Linked DNA regions of Sus scrofa. The protein of the gene in region 1 purifies or fractionates together with the protein of each later gene. This does not show direct contact. Links are inferred from orthologs where the notes say so. Each region holds a gene or a part of one and is shown on either strand. Other genes may lie near its edges. The genes, in order: SMURF1, STK38 and SMAD6.

The links.
Region 2: the proteins of SMURF1 (region 1) and STK38 purify together in Homo sapiens (affinity purification with western blotting; 3 studies listed by BioGRID, with this or other methods). This does not show direct contact. The link is inferred for Sus scrofa from reciprocal best matches to the Homo sapiens genes SMURF1 and STK38.
Region 3: the proteins of SMURF1 (region 1) and SMAD6 purify together in Homo sapiens (affinity purification with western blotting; 4 studies listed by BioGRID). This does not show direct contact. The link is inferred for Sus scrofa from reciprocal best matches to the Homo sapiens genes SMURF1 and SMAD6.

What each region holds. Positions count from the first base shown.
Region 1 is NC_010445.4:6,054,258-6,057,905, reverse strand, and holds part of SMURF1 (E3 ubiquitin-protein ligase SMURF1), read left to right. Parts: intron 1-17; coding exon 18-83; intron 84-1,318; coding exon 1,319-1,394; intron 1,395-2,441; coding exon 2,442-2,683; intron 2,684-3,338; coding exon 3,339-3,423; intron 3,424-3,648. UniProt on the Homo sapiens protein: E3 ubiquitin-protein ligase that acts as a negative regulator of BMP signaling pathway. Mediates ubiquitination and degradation of SMAD1 and SMAD5, 2 receptor-regulated SMADs specific for the BMP pathway.
Region 2 is NC_010449.5:32,208,663-32,212,310, forward strand, and holds part of STK38 (serine/threonine-protein kinase 38), read right to left. Parts: intron 2,841-3,648; coding exon 2,723-2,840; intron 1,733-2,722; coding exon 1,609-1,732; intron 1,443-1,608; coding exon 1,347-1,442; intron 453-1,346; coding exon 358-452; intron 1-357. UniProt on the Homo sapiens protein: Serine/threonine-protein kinase that acts as a negative regulator of MAP3K1/2 signaling. Converts MAP3K2 from its phosphorylated form to its non-phosphorylated form and inhibits autophosphorylation of MAP3K2.
Region 3 is NC_010443.5:164,651,069-164,654,816, forward strand, and holds the start of SMAD6 (mothers against decapentaplegic homolog 6), read left to right. Parts: upstream 1-1,533; 5' UTR 1,534-3,748. UniProt on the Homo sapiens protein: Transforming growth factor-beta superfamily receptors signaling occurs through the Smad family of intracellular mediators. SMAD6 is an inhibitory Smad (i-Smad) that negatively regulates signaling downstream of type I transforming growth factor-beta.

The DNA.
Region 1 (3,648 bases):
GAATTGTTTGTTTGCAGACCAGCGTCTGGATCTATGCAAACTAAATCCCTCAGATACTGATGCAGTTCGTGGCCAAATAGTGGGTAAGAACTTTCTCATCTGTATAAAGCGATACTTTTACAGAACGTACCATTCAGCTCTTCCTCACCGAGGAAACACTCTAAGGCACTGACCCATGGTGACACTGAAAGGACAGACCACCCTCGGGGCCCATCTCTGTCCAGTACTGAAACGTTTCATCTCGTGTGGTTTTTTTTAAGTATGTTACCTGGTGCTCTTCAGTCTGTCATTCAAGGTGGAGTTAAAGTGACCGAGGTACAAAAAAGACGGAGGGTTATAATTGTTAGTGTCATTTTTAACCCTCACGCTGATGGGCAGTTAGTTGTCATGGTACCCAAGGGTAGGTGATAAAAACGGTGGCCACACACGCAAGTGCTGAGAAAGAGGCTCTTGAGGAAGACCCGCCGAACATGAAACAGGCAGAGGCGGTGTCTGCAGACTCCAGGCGGTGTGATTTTACGGAGTCAGGACTGAGCGGCTTAGAATGAAGACGTGAGAGGGGCTCCGTCGCAGACTGCTGACCAGAGGTGTTCTGTTGGAAGGAAGGAATCCGCTAAGCCGCTCGTGCACGTATCCACCCCATTTTTAGGAGCGTTCTGGGGGCAGCGCAGACGTGGCGAGGCATCAAGACAGAGTATCCCCGCCGCACGCCAGTGACTTAGGACCCCAGACCCGTAGCTGTTGTCTTAGGTGGACCTGACCCGGGATCAATGAGCAGAGCGTAGCGTCCTGAAAACTCCCCTGACGACACAGTCCTCACCCAGGGCCTCTCTGCGGGCCATTTCTTCTTGTCTTTGGGGAGGGCCGGGCTGGGGAAGGCCGGATACCTGGAAGGGGCGTCACGACTTCATCAGCGTCTCAGGCGTTCACGGCGGGGACCGAGAACATATGTGTAGATGCAGCCAGACGCTGCAGATTCCAAAAGCGCTCTCTGTGTCCCTATTGGACGCAAATCAGAATCGTCTTAAAAGGTGAGGGAGCTTAGACGAAGTGAGGAGTACAATCTGTGATTCCGACCGAGAGCATGGCAGACGCGCCCTCTGCCCCCCGTTTGCAGGAGTGCTCCCAGCCGCACCGGGGGTGCAGCTAACGCGCAAACTGCTTCAGGCCTGAGAGCATAGGGCTGTGTGTGTGTGTACCTGTAGGCATGTGCCTTGTAAAGTAAGGTTGTACACAACTTCTGCGTTTGCACTGGCCCACTGTGTGCAGTCGCATCATGTGGCACTGGATTTTAACGCAACCCTTGTCTTCTTCTCAGTCAGCTTACAGACGCGAGACCGACTAGGCACCGGAGGCCCCGTGGTGGACTGCAGAGGCCTGTTAGACAACGAAGGGTGCGTACCGCCGCCGCGGCGAGGCCTGAGGGGGGGGCCCCCTGCCGCCCGCGCGCTCTCGCTCCGCGAAACTGGCCTTCCCACCTTGCTGCTGGCTCGAAGGCTGGGATGCAGGAAAGGCCGTGGGGATAAAACTGGGGTCCAGTTGGCTTGATTATAAAGGACCCTGTCGAGACGCGTGCCCCAAAGACTCAGAATCCAATTTCCAGAGGTTCCCACTGGCCACAGAGCATCAGTAAAGAATTAGAACTGCAGTGGGGGAGTTCCCGTCGTGGCGCAGTGGTTAACGAATCCGACTAGGAACCATGAGGTTGCGGGTTCGGTCCCTGCCCTTGCTCAGCGGGTTAACGATCCGGCGTTGCCGTGAGCTGTGGTGTAGGTTGCAGACGCGGCTCGGATCCCATTGCTGTGGCTCTGGCGTAGGCCGGTGGCTACAGCTCCGATTCGACCCCTAGCCTGGGAACCTCCATATGCCGCAGGAGCGGCCCAAGAAATAGCAACAACAACAACAACAACAAAAAAAAAAAAAAAAAAAAAGAAAGAAAGAAAAAAAAGGACTTGCTTATAGAGGAAAATCGCCTCTCTGGGTCAGTTGTCTTCAGAATGGTGCAGAAGATGAAGATTTAGGGTAAAGGGTGCTTTTAAAGTCAATGCAGCATTTTACACAACCAGGAATTCTCTTCTAGAATAAAATGACAAGGGAAACGAAACGTTTGGATCTGATTCTGCGTCAAATTGAAGTCCCGTTTTATGAGCTCCTTCGCATACTCGGTTGGTCTTTTCCAGCCCTTCAGCTCCAGACGAGGATGAGATCCCGCAGGTGGCCTCGGCGGCACTTTACACGTGGCTCCCTTTGGCCCCTGGTTCCTCCTCTCTCTTTCCAATTAAATAGGACGGGCCGAGTTTTATGCAACTAAGCACGTTGGGATGCTCTGTATCGTTCAAGAAAAGCCACATACACAGGTGTGCGAGCGTCATGACGCACCGTTGGGCGCTTCCCTGTCCCCGCCGGCGTCGTCACGCGTGCTGTGCTCCTCCCCCTTCTAGAACCGTGTATGAAGACTCGGGCCCCGGGAGGCCACTCAGCTGCTTCATGGAGGAACCAGCCCCTTACACGGACGGCCCGGGGGCCGCGGCGGGAGGCGGGAACTGCAGGTTTGTGGAGTCCCCGAGTCAAGATCAGAGAGTCCAGGCCCAGCGACTTCGAAACCCCGAGGTCCGAGGGCCCCTGCAGACGCCGCAGAACCGACCGCACGGCCACCAGTCCCCGGAGCTGCCTGAAGGCTACGGTGAGAGGCCTCGGCCCGCCCCCGGGGTGCCCGGCAGCCTAACCCCGTGTTAGGAACCTGTGCGTGTCAGAGCTGCTGACGTTCGTGGCGCTGGGCCACGCGGGGCTGTGTCCGTGTAAGACGAGACCCCGGGGATCGGTGGGAAATCCCGCTCGGCGGGGCCGCACTCCGGTTGCTCCCACCTCCCAGGTGAGCGGTTGTGCGAGGATTTTAGGCCAGTGAACCAAAGACCAGTGCCACCGGGGGGAAGGGGGCTGACCGAGGGGTCTGCGGTGCCCTGGGGGTTGAAGGCCAGCCTTGGGCAGCAGCGAAAAGACGGGACCTTTGGACAGCGGCAGAGGGAGGTCCTCAATGAAGGAGGACCGCGTGTAGAGTCAGAATGGTGGCAGAGGTCCCGGCGGGGTCCGTCCCCCGGTGGCAGGCCTGGGGATGCGGCCCAGGAAGGAGAGCCCGGCTCTCCGGGTGTGAACAGGAGTCAGCTGCCCGCACGCATGGGCGCGGGGCTGCGGCTCCCGGAAGCCCGGCAGGTTAGCTGCTGCCCTTCCAGCCCTCTTCCTGGTGATTTTAAAGGCTCTTGGAAGGAAGCGGAGTCGGCTTACAGGATCCCTCCTTGTCGCTGAGGGTAACTGATGGTGCTCCCCGCTTTCTTGTGCAGAGCAGAGAACCACCGTGCAGGGGCAGGTGTACTTCCTGCACACGCAGACTGGAGTCAGCACCTGGCACGACCCCAGGGTACCCAGGTAGGTCTCCCGAATGCCCCCCGGCAGAGCTGCGTCCGGCCTTTGCCTGGAGCCCCGAGTGTGGGTGACAGAGCCCCGAGGTTTGCAGACAGAAACCGGCAGAGCGGCGGCACAGACAGGACATCTGTCCTGGGGGCCGGGACTCGGACTCTCTGGGGGACGGTCCCAGCCCTGCTGCCCCCTCTAGACTCTCCAACTGCTGGAACACAAGTGGGTCCTTTAGGA
Region 2 (3,648 bases), on another chromosome or scaffold:
TTCACTCTGCATATTTTCTGCATTTGCATGCCTATGTTTTTTCACCTTCATATTTTTCCACAATATTTTAAAAGTTTTATTTTCCCATTTCTGTCATTTCAGGTTACCTAACCTTAAATTTAATAAATAACCACAAAAGAGAAAATCTTTGTGATTCACCACCTGGTTGAGCAGTCTAAACGTGGTGTCTGTACTCACTTGTCATTCAACACCATCTCACTGCCGGCCAGTATTAACACTAGAAAAATACTTACAAAGTTCCTCTCTATGCTCTCTACCCTGATTTGTAAACATCACCCCAAAGTTCGGGGAAAGTGATGCACTTATAAGCAGCAGGAAGCAGTGGCAGTATATTACCTGTTGGCTTAAGAATATCAGATTCTGGAAACTCATCGAAATTTGAGGTATCATCAATGCTTTTGATTTCAATAGATATTGCAGCAGGTCTCTCTCTGCCAAGAACAGACATGCCAAAATTACTACAATTTGTAATCACATGGATCACAACTAACAGACCCCTGGTCTGACATGGGAGGACTTTCCATGCAGGCAGCATTTATTTTCTCTGAAAAGCTTATGACCACTGACCAACCACGGCAGCTGATTATATCCAAACAAAATCATGATGAAAAATACAAGTAATTATTCATAGCTAGGAAGAAAGACCAGAAAAATATGGAGAAAAGAAATTAAAATCCAAAGTTAGTGCACTCCCCCAACAGCCTGCCCTGTCCGCTGAAAGGGAAACGGAACCTCTCAGTGTCCCTTCATGTAGGGCAGAAGTGCCAAAAAGCAGAGTGGCTAAAAATGCACAAGGATGGCAAAGGTAAAAACCTCAAGCATGCAAACAAGAGCGCTATGAAAAAGATGACAACTTTGCCTTCTGTTTGGTCTGGGTGGTATGGGGGTAGCCCTCTACAACCACCCCCCTTGACAATTTCAGACCCCCTCACCACCACCCAACCTGTCCTTCTTCAGTCCTTTTTCCTTCTCTATCTCCCAGTGACAGAGCCTACCCTATGGGCAAGGTGGGCCATGTTCTGGGTAGGTGGTCCTCCGCTGTGGAATCCAAAACATGACACTAGAGGTGGACATGTTCTGGGGAACAGCAAACGCAACTGTGGAATCCAAAGCTGCCTTCACTTGGGAAAGACGGCTGGCTTCACCGTATCCTGTGGCACACAGCCCACAGGAAGCTCTGACTCCCAATCCTCACAGTGAATGAACCGGAGTTTCTAAGAGGCTCTCTTCCCATCCTCGGCTTGCCAGTAAGGGTACTTCTGAATTAGCATTAAACAAACTATACGCTTTCTGAAATTATCCTAAAAGCTTTTATATGGATATACCTGATATGTTCCCAGTCAACACCTTCAAAAAAAGGATTACTTTTGATTTCCTCAACTCCAGGGGCTCCAATTCTATGTTCCCATTCACAGCAGAATCTGGAAAAGACAGGCCTTTCAGCGTTACCTCAAGTAGTCGCTTCAAAAAAGAAAGAAATGGGAGGAAGCAGGGGGCAGATCCAGGCAACAATGAAAAATTTTAAAAAATGGATTCACTGTGTCAAAAAAAGACAGGGCAGGGGGCAGGGGAAATGTTCTCTGATACCTCAAAATTAGATCCTTGGCTTTCTCAGAAATAGGAACTTCTGGAGGAAAAGTCAAAGTTTCTTTCCAGTTCATCACCTTCTTATACGTCTCTTGAGGGGTCTCAGAACAGAAAGGTGGGTAGCCTGTAATAAAAAAGGAACTTCACAGCTTTTACATCCCAGAACTTTGAATCTGACTGAGATTATTCTCCTTAATACAATTTTCTATCTCTTTAATGCTCCTCTATGCTCTTCCCCACATGACAGGGCCAGGATTTCTACTCATCCCAGAAAATATCTAAACTCATTTTTCTTTTTTCCCCAAACTCCTAAACCCAAAGTCAAGTTGTGCTTCTGGTACCTTTAGGGAGCCAGCTAGCAGCTGGAGCCAGCAAGGACATAATAGGTTGCAGATGGACTCACTGTGCCCAAAGAATGAAACATCATTAAGCAACAACCCCATCCTAGGAACATCCTTATACAGGCAGAGGGCCCAACCAGTTGAATAAGAAAAAAGCATCACTTTTAAAAGTGACCACCATCCTCTCTTTGAGAACTTAGAGGCGAGAGGAGAGTCATTCCCCCTGCGCTGCACACAGACCACATTGGCCAGCACGGGCATCCTCCCTGTGCTCACAAAGATGCACGGCCAGACATGCCACACGGGTCACACACACGTGCTCTGCTAGCATTTGGGCATGAGGCTGCCCCCACAGACATGCCCCCTAAACACAGACACTCCACCCAAACAGGAGGGGAGAGGTCAGAGGGCTCCATGCCTTGAAGGCTTTGAAAGAGAGGAGACAGCAAATAAGAAGAGTGCCTGAGACACTGCCCAGTCAAGACTCTCTGTATACAGTGGGTGTTCAAAAAACGCCGGGGAGTGAAAGAGCTGCTAGATGGAGGATGAAAAAGTAGAAGAAAAACATGATGAATGATCAGCAAAGCAACCACAGGGGGTCAGGGGGCCAGAAGACAGATGAGTCAGTTGATGGCCCAGTGTTCCACCTAGGAAACTCCACTTTGCAAGACGGGGAGGGGAGGGCTCACTTAGATGACCAACTGAAACAGTCTATTACCAACACTGGACTCTTTCCCTGCTGCACAGGAAGTCCTCTGAGAGCACGCACTTACCGATGAGCATCTCATACATGATCACCCCAAGCGACCACCAGTCACAGAGCTTGTTGTACCCGGTCTGCATGAACACCTCGGGAGCAATGTAGTCAGGAGTGCCTACCGTGGAGAAGGCCTGAAACACGTACCACACGTCAGGGAGGCCCAGCAGGTGGGAGGGTGCCCAGAGTTCTCTTCTAGAGACCAAAGGCTACGAGCACCACCTAGAGCAGCAGAGCCCAGTTTGGGAATTAACTATATCTTGTTCCAAACCATTCCTCTTTCTACTGCATGTATTTTTTAATTTGGAAAATCATAAAGGGAAACTATTACCAAAAGACAAAGTTATAACCTATTAGTCAAAGGTTTATAAATGTCTAATTACCAAACTGAAACATTTAAATAAATAGTTCTTAGAGGAGTATTTTCTAAATTCGAGTAATCGCTCACATACCAGGAAGTACTAGTACTGCAATACTAGGAAGTATAGTCAAAGCCTTCCTGTGCTCAGCATCTGAGGGCTTATTACATAGAAGGCTCTAATCTAAGGCTTTCCATGTTACATAACTTTCAAAATCAAAAGCTACAGCTGTGTTGACTTTTTAAAATATTTATTATGAAACACTGCAAACATACAGGAAAAAAAGGCACAATCAATACCCATTATCTGTATTAAAGAGAAGTTAATATCTGCAATATTTGTCTCAGGACATTTGTCTTGTTAAAAGAAATGAAAGTATAGAATCCCTTCCTTCCCAATGAAGTCATAACTACTCTGATGTTGCTGTGCTATGCTTATATGGATAAATGAAGTATTATTTCTTGTATATTTCAACTTTTAATAAAGGGTTGCATACTGTACTGCATTATTCTGCAATGCTACAACTTGCTGTTTTTATTTCACATTATGATTTTGAGATTTATTCATGTAGCTCTAGCTCACC
Region 3 (3,748 bases), on another chromosome or scaffold:
ACCAGTTCCCTACTCCCAGCCCTGCCCCTGCAGTATAGTCTCCACATGGCCGCTAGAGGGAGCCAGTTAAAATAGAAGGCAGATCTGTCTCTCCCTCTCCTGGCTTCCAGGGTCTCCCAGCTCAGAGGACAAGCCAAAGACACATCTATGGCCTGTGTGACCCCCCCACCCCCACCCCCACCCCAGTTTTTCTCTCATCTTATCACCTCTTTGATGGTCTTGGAACATGCTCAGGACCCTTGTACTTGATGTTCTCTGAGCCTGGAACATTCTTCCCCCAGTGTCAGAGAGGTTCCCTTCATCATCAAGATCTTGCTCAAATGTCACCTTCCCAGAACAGCATTCCATGACCACTTTCTCTGAACCACACTCACCCTCTCCTAGCATTCCTGTCTCCTCTTCTCTGTTTTATTTTTGATCTTGGCAACTTTATCTTCCAAGATGCTGGATACCTGATTATTTTGTTTATGGTCTGTCTGTCCTTCCACTAGGTTCCTTGAGCTCAGGGATTTTTGTTTTGCTCACTGCAGGATCCCTAGCACCTGGAACATGGCCTGGGACCCAATAGGAGTTTGATGAGTTGGTGTCCAATAAATGAATACGAAGTTTCATTCAAGCACATGTGCATTTTTTTTTTTTTTTTTTTTGCTATTTCTTGGGCCGCTCCCACGGCATATGGAGGTTCCCAGGTTAGGGGTCGAATCGGAGCTGTAGCCCCCGGCCTACACCAGAGCCACAGCAACGCAGGATCCGAGCCACGTCTGCAACCTACACCACAGCTCACGGCAACGCCGGATCGTTAACCCACTGAGCAAGGGCAGGGACCGAACCCGCAACCTCATGGTTCCTAGTCGGATTCGTTAACCACTGCGCCACGACGGGAACTCCCACATGTGCATTTTTCAAGAAAGAAGGTCCAGGGTACTCATCAAAGTCTCAGAAGTGTTGTCTACCACCAAAGGGGGCAACAGCTCCCCCATTCTGGACCATGTTGGCCAAGTAGATTGACCTTCTAGAGATGCAGACATCACATAGCCAGTTGGGCCTATAGTGTTCTCCTGAGAGTTAATAAGTGAAGCATTGTTTTATCCATTAGTTTTCTGTGAAGTGGGCTGGGTTGAATCAGTCTCCCTGCCCTTCCATCTCTACATAGCAAGAGGTGGCCCAGACACCCTCTATGATACCTCCATTCATATGCAGTGACTCCTAGAGCCTGCCTCTTCCAACCGTTGAGAAGCAAGCTCTGTCTTGAATGATTTCTGCCATTTCATGCCTTGTGTCTTCCCAGCTAATGTGGAAACATCCCAAAGCAAAAGATCGTGTTTTTCTGGGACCAGATATTAAGAAAATGGACACTCAAGCAGCCCTGGGTTCAAGTCCCATATCTGCCACTTGTTATTTAATCTCTCTGTTTCCTTCTTTTTTAAAAATGGATCCTATAAGAATAAGAACTTCTTCATGTTGTTGGGAGGATTTGATGAGATAGTGCATATAGGTGTTTGGTACAGGATGATGAACAGCATGGAACTTGGCAAAGAAAACAATTTTAATTCCAGCATATCACAAACATTAAGTGCCCTTATGTGATAGGAGTTATGCTAGGGACTAGGGAGACGAAATGGGACAGGCCCTCTCTTGTGTACATTAGCTTCTCTGATAGTGCAGAGTGGCATCAAGTGTCCTGTTTCGCTCAATGGGGCTGTGAGTGGCCTGTGCCTGGCATTTCAGCTTATTTAGCCACAGGGGGCTTACATTCCAGAGGCAGAGGATTGCAAGGTTTACGAATTGTGAGAAAACACAGGGTTCTCTGAGGGGAATACTAGAATGATGGGGAGGGGGCAGATTTGAATCTGAGGGGTTACCTCTTCATTATTTTGTGAGTAACCTGGCTGCAGAGACCTGTGGAGCAGCAACTGGGACCTCACTTATCTCCTCTCCTGCACCCCAGGGAATTGGAGCTTGTTCTCCAGAAGGGTGATCTAGGAGGATGCCTGTAGGCTGAGGCTCCGAAGCATGCCCTCTGGGCACTGCGACACACACCCTCTAGTGGTCACAAGTCAGGCAGTAGGCTGGATGGGCCCTAGAAATCCAAGGACAGTGGGACTGCCACCATCCTTTTAGTATCCCTTTCTGATCCTATCTCCACCGTGACACAGTCTTTCTAGAATGAGGGATGACTCTGGGACCTCATGTTGTTTAATTTTGGTAACCACCTATAGCATGATTCCTATTCCCAGTTTACAAATGAGAGCCCTGAGGCTAATAGAGCTGAGGGAAGTTAAGTAGGGTCAGTACTGGACTCAGGCCTACCAGGCATCATCCAGCTGGGACCTAAAGGCGCCCCACCCCACTGGCACATCTCTGGGTTGAGCAGGAGCAGAAGGCAAACTCTGTCTGAATTACCACCCAGGGAGAAGGTAGCCCTCCCTTGGAAGGTTACTACTTTAGTTGCTCCTTGGCCTGAGGCTCCAAGCACAGACCTGGCATCCCTGAAGGAATCCTGCAGAAAGGGGTGAGCTGGTACCTCAGGGAGGTATGGGGGTAAGGGGGAAAGAGCCACAGCTCACAGATTTGCCTCCAGGGTTAGGGGCTGAGCATTTGAGGAAGACTTGAAGGGTAGCCCATCTGCCTGCTGGTCTCCCTTTACCTTTGCTTCACACCCATTTATGCCTCCCCCCAGCCAAAGTGGCTGGGTTTAAATCCAGCCTCTACCACTAACTACAGGCTTGTGCAAGTTACTTAAGGTCTTTGTGCCTCAGTGTCCTTAACTGTAAATTAGTGCTTAACAACCATGCCTACCTCCCAAAGTGTTGTATGGAGTTTGGGGCCTCACTCCACAACAGATTCAGCACGTCCAGTGGACATTTTGAAAAACACTGTCCTGAAGGGTGTGCTCTGGCAACACAGACCCACCCCACTTTCTAGCTGTTGGGGGAGGGTGCACAATGGTTTATACCTCTCTGGTTTTAGCATTTCAGTACTTTCAAGACTATCTTCTTTTCAATGGCAAATTAAGTGAGCAAGTTCCTATTCCTCAGTTTCCTCATTTATAAAATGGAAATAAGAGTATCAGTGTTGTTGTGAGAATGACTAAAATCTTTGTAATGCTTGAAACATGGCCTTGCCCATAGTAAACACAAGTTATTGCAATCCATGGTCAAACCAGCAGATACCCTAATTAAAACAAGCTATTAAAAAACTACATTACATTGAGTTTCTCCTTACATTAATTTCCCCAGGGGCAAGAAGTGATCGAAAAGGGGGTACAAGATCCTTTATTCTTTAGTTGTCCTTTAGGTGTTGCTTACACAGGTGTTTTGTTCACTTGTGAAAATTCACCCTGTTTACTTGCGATTTGTGAACTTAAAATGCACTGTCTTGTAGAATCTTCATGGTTCTGTGAAGAAAGCAGGGCAGGCATCAACAACCCCATTTATCAAACAAGAAACTGAGGTCAAGACAGCTGTTTTCATTAGGCCGAAGTAGAAGGGGATGAGGGTGGGGAAGATTCTAAGTCCTGCCCTCAGTTCTCCAGAGTAACCGCCTCTCCCAGAGGGTGCGGAGCGAACAGTGCCTGGCTCCAGGTGAAGTTCGGCAAAAGGTTCTGAGTCCTTCCTACAAACACCGCCCTTCCCCCAGGGCACACACAACTCGGGCCCACTCGGGGACTCACACCACCGCACGCTCACAAGGCCAGCCCCACACGTGGGAACCCCCGAGGGAGGCGCGCGCGCAGGCGCCCCCTCTG